Rattus norvegicus: one gene and its partner. The protein of the gene in region 2 interacts with the protein of the main gene of each other region in a pairwise test. Links are inferred from orthologs where the notes say so. Each region holds a gene or a part of one and is shown on either strand. Other genes may lie near its edges.

Region 1 (4,196 bases), on a different chromosome or scaffold from region 2:
CATTTCTGCTGTGTCAAAACATTTTCAAAGTATAAGAGCCTCTTGAAATATTCCAAGTCAAAACAACCAGAGATCAAATCGCTAACAAGAATTAAATGGATACCAAAATGTTTGTAATAGCCTGGGAGAAAATGATAGATTACAATCAGTGGGACAATTTCAAGGACAGAGAACAGAGGCCTATTTTTCTTTTCCCTATTGTATACATACCGGCTGGTAGGTCTCTGCCCCACATTGATCGCAAGTGTATGTGGCCACCACCATCCTGGGCTTGACTTCAGACACACGAGTGACAATCCCACGCACAGTTAACAATTTCCCTACAGAATCAGCCCGTACTTCCCGGATCACTCGAGGCTTGCTGCTACTTGGGCCTTGGAAATACAACTCACTAAGAGAAAGAAACATTTGTCAACAAGGCCCTGGAGAGCAAGTCCCTGCCCCTTCCCACAGAGGTACTTACAATCTACGCATGAGCTCAGAAGGATACTGGTTTTGAGGGTTCCGGACTGCCCCAGGGTCTCTGCTCCGCTGCTCCATCATCAATCGGTGTTCAATGTAAACATCCAGGACATCCTTATTCACCACCTCCTTCTCCTTGTACTCAGGCAGAAGCTCCTGTACTACGTCAGCAAACAGCCTCGAGTAGCGCTTGGCATTCTCGCAAATTGAGTCGACCAACTCAGGGTCATCTTCAGCTACATCATCTAGGTCCACGTACAATGCCACTTGTTCCCGATGAGCCAGATGAACCTGAGGTAAGGAAGAGACAGTAACACTTTAGAGTCAAGTTCACCTCACCCACAAAAGCGCTTCTAAGTCACTGGCCTACCTCCCATGGGGAAAAACAGAATAGTGTCCAGCAGAGTGACAGGTGTTCCCAATCCCAGCACTTAGGATTTAGAAGACAACAGAATGAGGAGCTCAAAGCCAACCTTAGCTATGTAACTACATAGGGTGTTCTTGATGCTGGTCTGTGCTACACACAGACTATCCCTAAAAACCAAGAGCTAGGCATGGATGAGAATGCTCAGCAGGTTAGACACTTGCCATCTAGCCAGATGACCTGAGCTTGCTCTTCAAAACACATGTGGTGGGAGACTCCCACAAATTGTCCTGTTGACCTCCACACATGCTATGGCATGCCCATGTGAGCACAAGCATACAGGAATAAATACAAGTAAAACAGCTAAGAAAATCCAAAAGTAAACATAGAAGAACTCAAAACTTTGTATAAAAACAATCAAAACCAAGTCATTCACTGATAGCCATTCTTGCTATCACAAGGTAGGGCACCTTATACAAGTTCTTACACACCACTCCACTCCCCATAACCCACCCTGAGACTTACCAACTGGGTCCCATACTTGAACTGCTTCTTTCCAAGCTCATCATCATAATAAAACTCTTGCAGGAACTTCTTCACTTTTTCTACAAATATGAAATAAAATATCTTTGTGGACAGTGAGGTGTAAAGCCCACGCCAAGTCTGACAACTGGAGTTCAATCTCTGGGACCCACCCACAGGTTGGAAGAGTTCTGCGGGTGTCTAGCACCCAACTGTAAGCTGTGATGTGCCCGTGCAAACGCGCACGTGCTCTCACAAACAATAACGTAGCAAAAAAACTTAAAAACAATCACTCTCCCTTTTGGATTCTTTATTTCAAACTCTTAACGGAAAACTAAGAAACCCGCTTGGCGGGACTTATGAACTAGTTAGTTAAATGAACATTCAAAACAAATCTACCAAGTTCTCAAAGTAGCAGTGCTCCCTTTCACAAGTCTGTTTTTACCTAGGGAAGAATATAGGTCCCTGGGCAGTTACAATAATCTTACCTAACCACCCTCAAGAAATTCCAGTGTCTGCCTTAGTTAGGAACCTCAGTTTCTTCAATTCTCTCAGCTTGCTCACAGTCGACCTAAGACCCTCGGTTCTCCCTCTACCAGTACAGTACAGCTCTTTCTTTTCCGGCTCCCGCCAGAACGTCTGCCACTAGGCCTCCTTCGGCACCCCATGCCCGGCTCCCGCCACTGCTTCCGCTCTTAGTAAACAAAGAAGCACATGGGCCTGGATTCCAGCCGCCTCACAACCCAGGATTCCTCCGCCTGAAACCGGTGGCCGTGCGGGGATTGGCCAGAACTCCAAAGGGCCACTCGGATTCACCATACTGCCAACGCTCACCGCCCGGCGCTCAGCCTCCCAATCCCAGGCACGCCCCTACCTAGAGCAGTTATCTCCGATGCCACCGCGCGGAAGGACACTGTTTACACACGACAGCCCTCCGATCAGGTAGCGCCATTTCCGCCCGCCTCTACTTCCGCTTGGAGGGCGGCCGAAAACTACCAATCGCGGAGCGGAGCGGTCCAGCAAGCCCCGCCTCTGGGCTCCGGCGCGCCTCGAGTGCACGCGGGAATTTGCTAGTGCCCCAAGGCGCAGAGGCTGGTCTAGTAACCCAGTCCCTCAAACCCCGTACTGAAGGCTCCACGTCATCTGGTCTTCCCCGAGCACGCCCCTCCTCTTTGTGGCCTTCACTGGGTTCTCTCCCTAACACAACCACATCATCTTTTCCAAGCAGAATTGCTTCCTCCATTCTTAATGCCCATTGCTTATCCCAGGTGCAGTTAGCTTGTCCCCAGAGTCACAGATCTCGGCTCCCCCCAAGACCCAAGCTCCCCTCAACAGGTGTAGGTAGAGAAGTTTCCCTCCGAGGACGCCGTTCCCAGCCCTATAGAGCATCACCTTTCTCAATCGCATAGTCCTTAAGCGCCATCGCTGCCGGGGACCGTGCGGCAAGACTTAAATGGTTCTGAAGTCTCACTCCGGGGAAGCAGAAAACGAACGCGCAGCGGTACGTAGCTCTCCAACCGAAATTGGCGCGAAACGTCGTCACCCATGTGACCCATACGGCTAAATACGGGCCAATCAGAGAGGGGGTTCCCAACCGCTGCCGGCCCCTAACTTTAACCAATCACTGGATGAATCTAGATTGAATGACAGAGAGCTAGGGGGCGGGCCGGTGGAAGATTGCCTGATTCTGCTGGGTTGGGCACCCGATTTCCCGCGGTTCGAAATTAATGCTCGCGAGTGTGTGTGTGGGAGGAGTTTCTTAAAGCGCCAGCCTCAGTGCGGCCTTTTGTTCCGTGTCCGCAAGGCGGGGTGGGTTCAACTTTCACCGTCTTCTTGTCTATCCTTCAGAACGGCCATGATTTCCCAGTTCTTCATTCTGTCTTCCAAGGGGGATCCGCTCATCTATAAAGACTGTATCCTTTGGACCGGGAGACGGGATAGGGGAGGTGGGTAGAAATCGAAACCAGGCCAGTCTGTGTCGCCTGCTCCTTAACTATCTTTCCATCTGGCTAGTCCGAGGGGATAGTGGTGGTCGTGATGTGGCCGAGCTCTTCTACCGGAAGCTGACGGGACTGCCGGGAGGCGAGTCCCCGGTTGTCATGGTAACTACTGTGGCAGGCGAGCAGGGGCTTAGAACTGTGGAGGTGGGTGGGTGCCTCATCTCTCCCTGTCAAGGGCGGCTTGGTAGGAAGAAGCTTTTTTTTTTTTTTTTTTTTGGATGTAATGAGCAAAGGCGAGGTTTATTACGGAGATCTATTATGGGGATCTCCGGGCCGACATGTATCCCGCGCAGGAGACAGAGGTGTCGACCAGGAAGAAGCTTTTAAGGAGGAAGGATTCGTTTCTCCAAGTAAGATAGATGAGTACTGACAAGACGCCAGATGCAGAGCCTTGCATCCCCATCTCTAGACTATCAATAACTCAGAGAGGTAGGTGCTACCTTTACACGTTAGGTGGCCAGGTCTTAGGTCTCAGGGATCGCCCAGCGTCACACTTCTACCATCACGATTGGAGACCCCAGGGTGCTATCTTGCAGGCTACATTACTACAATTCTGGTCTTTTGTTAATAATGCCTCTGTCCTCAACTCTGCCTTAGTATCACGATGATCGTCATTTTATTCACATCAGACACAGTGGTCTCTATTTGGTGGCCACAACTTCAGAAAATGTCTCTCCTTTCAGCCTCCTGGAGCTACTTTCCAGGTGAGTGGGGCTGGAACAGGCACGTAAGAAGGAGTGTATGAGAGGTTTATTCACACAATCCGCTGTGTTTCCTTAGGTTAGCCACTCTCTTGGGTGACTACTGTGGCTCACTCAATGAGGGGACCATCTCACGGAATGTGGCGC
Region 2 (3,540 bases):
AACTTCGTTAAAATGTTTACCTTTATACATAGATAGCTTCATACCCTAAAAAAAAAAAAATCCATATACTATAGTGTATCTAAATGTTCTTGTGAAATAATTGTATTCAAACCTAAAATAAGCCCCAAAGACTCAGTTCACTGTTTTGGTTTTTTTTTTTTTTTTTTTTTTTTTGGTTTTTAAGTCATTGATCCTTGATCCACTGTGTACCTGTTCTCATTCTGGGTTTTGTTTGTTTTTTTTTTTTTTTTTGGTTTTTTTTTTTTTTTTTTTTGGTTTTATGATGATGATGTGATCATTTGTGGCATAGAACTATTGGTATTCCATTGATTACACTGTTGGCATCTCAAGGGAAAGTGTTTCAATGAGTATCTAAAAAAGCTACTTTTTAGGTAGGTAAGAGTCTGCACAGTGGACAGGTTTAAGTTAAGCTCCACCTGTCCATGTGGCCCACCGTAGCTACCTAGCTCAGCTTGGCAAAGAGGAGCATACTTATCTGAGCTCTATTATTCCAAGTCTAGTAATTCTAGCGCTGAATGACTGCTATTTAATACAGCCACTCGTATGAGGCATTAGGTGGTATCTAGACATGAAAGAGAATCTGAGTTTTAATTTCTTCTGAATCTTTGTGGTCATATATGTTCATTAAAAGTTCTTTCATGTACATACATTATGTGTTTTTCTTTTTTTTTTTTTTGTTTTTTGGGTTTTTGTTTTGTTTTTGTCAGATCTGTTCCATTAGTAATTGGACACCCAATAACTTCATTACATCACAGCTCAAAACACTGAGGAGTTTGTCTCTGTAAGCCCTGTCAGCTTGAGGAGAATCTAACATTCAGGCTAGTGTGCCTGTACACACACCACCAGGGATTGAATCCAGGGCTGGGCAAGTGTTTTACCAGTCTGCGATCTATTTAGCCCCACTGCAAGAAAATGAATTTAAATGGAAATTATAAAAAATGAGAACACAGTCTTCAGAGTGATGTAGCTGCAAAGTCAAGACTTGAATTCTTGCTCCTCTTGGGTCTATCTAGTGTTGGCTTCTTCCACTGATACATGGCAAGGCTACTATAAATTTTAGGTATTTTAGCCACATACAGCAGTGTCCCAGAGGAACCTTTGTTTTCTCACAAGAGAAGTTGGCAGAAAATTTCTCCTTAATCCCAGCAGACCCTCCTTACTCATTGGCTACAGTTAGGCTATGTGCATGTCAATTTCTAAACAAGAACATTGGGGTGGGGTAGGCACTGCCTTGAGTCACACAGAGGGCACATAGAGCTGCTTGCTTAGACTGGCACAGTGCCTTCCATGGTCAAAGATACCTGTTGCACATATGCACGTGTTATGTATGTGTTTACCTCTTACTTCAGTATGCCAAGTACCTTTTGCATCTATCCATTGTTGCTTCTCTTGGTCAGTTTCCCAGATGGGAGGGTTCCCAAGAGCTATTACTCAGATTATGAGAAGCTGGTAACTAATGAAGTAGGTATTTGCCAGAGAGGAGCTTGCTGTTACACTGTTATATACTATTTGTAACAATACCCTCCTCTGTGGGTAACTTTGTAGACTATGCTTCCTGATTTTAGAACTGTTTGGGGTTCACAAAGGCTTTCCATGTATCTATTACACAGTCTTCTACAAAGGGAGTAATGCTGATGTGTCCTAAATAGTCATTATTTTGTTACTTTTATACTAGAACTTTTCTGGAAAAAGAAGAAAAGTCCAACCACCTCAAGTAAGTCATTTTGTCTTCCTTTAGACTTCAGAAATAGATTAATGAGTTTTATACTTTATTAACAAATATGTCTACTCTTGTTGCTTTTAGTCATACCTTGGCAGACTTTAGGTTGAATTAGGGAAGCCATTTTATTTTAAGACCATAGAATGATTTCAACAGGCTAATGAAATACAAAAATCTTCACCTTGTTTTTAATAAAATATTGGGTTAGAAAACATTTAAGTGCCCATATAACTTTAGTCTCCTCCCACCTTGCCTTTTATGAGCACTACTAATTAGTGTTATCTAAATCAAAAAGAGGTGACATCGTGTCTGGGGAGATGGCTTAATGAGCAGAGGATTATATAACATTCAAGAAAACCTGAGTTCTGATCCATGGCATCTGCTTCAAAAGCAGAGCATAGCGGTGTGGTTCTGTTACCTCAGCACTGGGAGACAGCAGCTTACGGGGCAGCTGTCTAACCAGTGGGCTCCAGGTTCACTGAGACTGTCTCAGAAAGTGTGATAGGGAACAGTTGCGGAAGATAGCCACTGTTAGTCTCTGACCACCATAGGTATATGTATCCACAAACACATACTCTGTGCTCCCCTCCCCGCCACACCCATACACAAATGCTAATTACAGCGTAGCTCTCTGTCCAAAATACTTAATTAGTTGAATTAAAATAGTATAATTTTATGTCTTAATGATGTAAATTAGAGTTGGGGAAAACTTTTAAAATTTGCTATTTTTTTTAAATAGTATGTTGCTACTGGGTGTGGTGGTATATACCTGTAATCGTAGTACTCTGGAGGATGAGATAAAAGGGTCAGAAGTCCAGCCCTGCACTATATATGCAATATATATATAGTAAAGCCCTGTCTCAGCATGCCATGTCTCTCAAAGTAGCTTATTACATACTTATGTACAATTTTGAGTCATTTTTTGAGAGTAGTCTTTGTTTCAGAGATTAGTTGGTCCCTCAGAAGGAAAGTTCTAGGTATTTTAGGCATCTAAGCTAATCCTCCAGTGCTTTTTTTTTTTTTTTTTTTTTTGCTGTAGATTATGAGTCATTGGGGTTTTGTTTTGTTTTTTAAAAAAGCTTTTATTGGTATTTCAAAGCTCAGAAACTCCAGGAAAGCTTTGTCACTAGGGAGGAGACTCAGGTCAATATGGCACTATGTTATATATGCATTAGTTCTGTGTTGCTAGGATGAAATCCAGGGCTTCCCATGCGTCAAGCAAATGCCCTGACATATGGTTACAGCCCAGAAAAAAAATAGAAGCCTTGTTAGTTTATACCTCTAAATTATGGCACAGTCACCACACACAGCTTTCAGTCTCAAAACTACTATACAGTAATGTGCTGCTGAATAGTTAGGTATTTATAGTTCACTTAGCACTTTATCTGCCTTAAGAAACTTAAGTCTTATTCAGCAATTTGTGTCTCCAGCAGAACTATTCACTGGCTGAACTGGATGAGAAAATTAGTGCTCTCAAACGAGCCCTGCTCAGAAAGTCGAGAGAAGCAGACTCCATGGCCTCTCACCACCTCCCGTGAGACCACACTGTCACGTTGCTTCCCTTTAAGATGCGAGTGCGTGTACCTTACAAATGCTTAACTATTTGCAATGTATTCATCAACATAACCTTGTCTGGAAAGTCAAGGTTTACTTTTGCATGAGACTGGCCGACAGCAAATAATCAAATATTGCAGTGTTTGGAAATGATATAACCCTTGACCATAGCACTGTTGGAATTTGTTTCCTTCTGTTTTAAAGGAGGCATTTTGGATAGTACAAAACTTAATTTGAAAGAACTT

What was found. The genes of interacting proteins can lie anywhere in the genome.
Region 1: the proteins of Mbip (region 2) and Mcm7 interact in binary tests that used the Homo sapiens proteins (3 or more experiments, as listed by UniProt). The two-hybrid records come from large-scale screens. The link is inferred for Rattus norvegicus from reciprocal best matches to the Homo sapiens genes MBIP and MCM7.

Annotation. Positions count from the first base shown.
Region 1 is NC_086030.1:22,160,349-22,164,544, forward strand, and holds the start of Mcm7 (DNA replication licensing factor MCM7), read right to left. Parts: upstream 2,831-4,196; 5' UTR 2,772-2,830; coding exon 2,741-2,771; intron 2,294-2,740; exon of another isoform or gene 2,223-2,293; intron 2,061-2,222; exon of another isoform or gene 1,837-2,060; intron 1,432-1,836; coding exon 1,352-1,431; intron 754-1,351; coding exon 464-753; intron 392-463; coding exon 211-391; intron 1-210. Other genes in the region: Ap4m1 (AP-4 complex subunit mu-1), read left to right, coding at 3,204-3,261, 3,362-3,486, 3,946-4,052, 4,129-4,196. UniProt on the Homo sapiens protein: Acts as a component of the MCM2-7 complex (MCM complex) which is the replicative helicase essential for 'once per cell cycle' DNA replication initiation and elongation in eukaryotic cells.
Region 2 is NC_086024.1:79,543,456-79,546,995, reverse strand, and holds part of Mbip (MAP3K12-binding inhibitory protein 1), read left to right. Parts: intron 1-1,696; coding exon 1,697-1,735; intron 1,736-3,171; coding exon 3,172-3,279; 3' UTR 3,280-3,540. UniProt on the Homo sapiens protein: Inhibits the MAP3K12 activity to induce the activation of the JNK/SAPK pathway. Component of the ATAC complex, a complex with histone acetyltransferase activity on histones H3 and H4.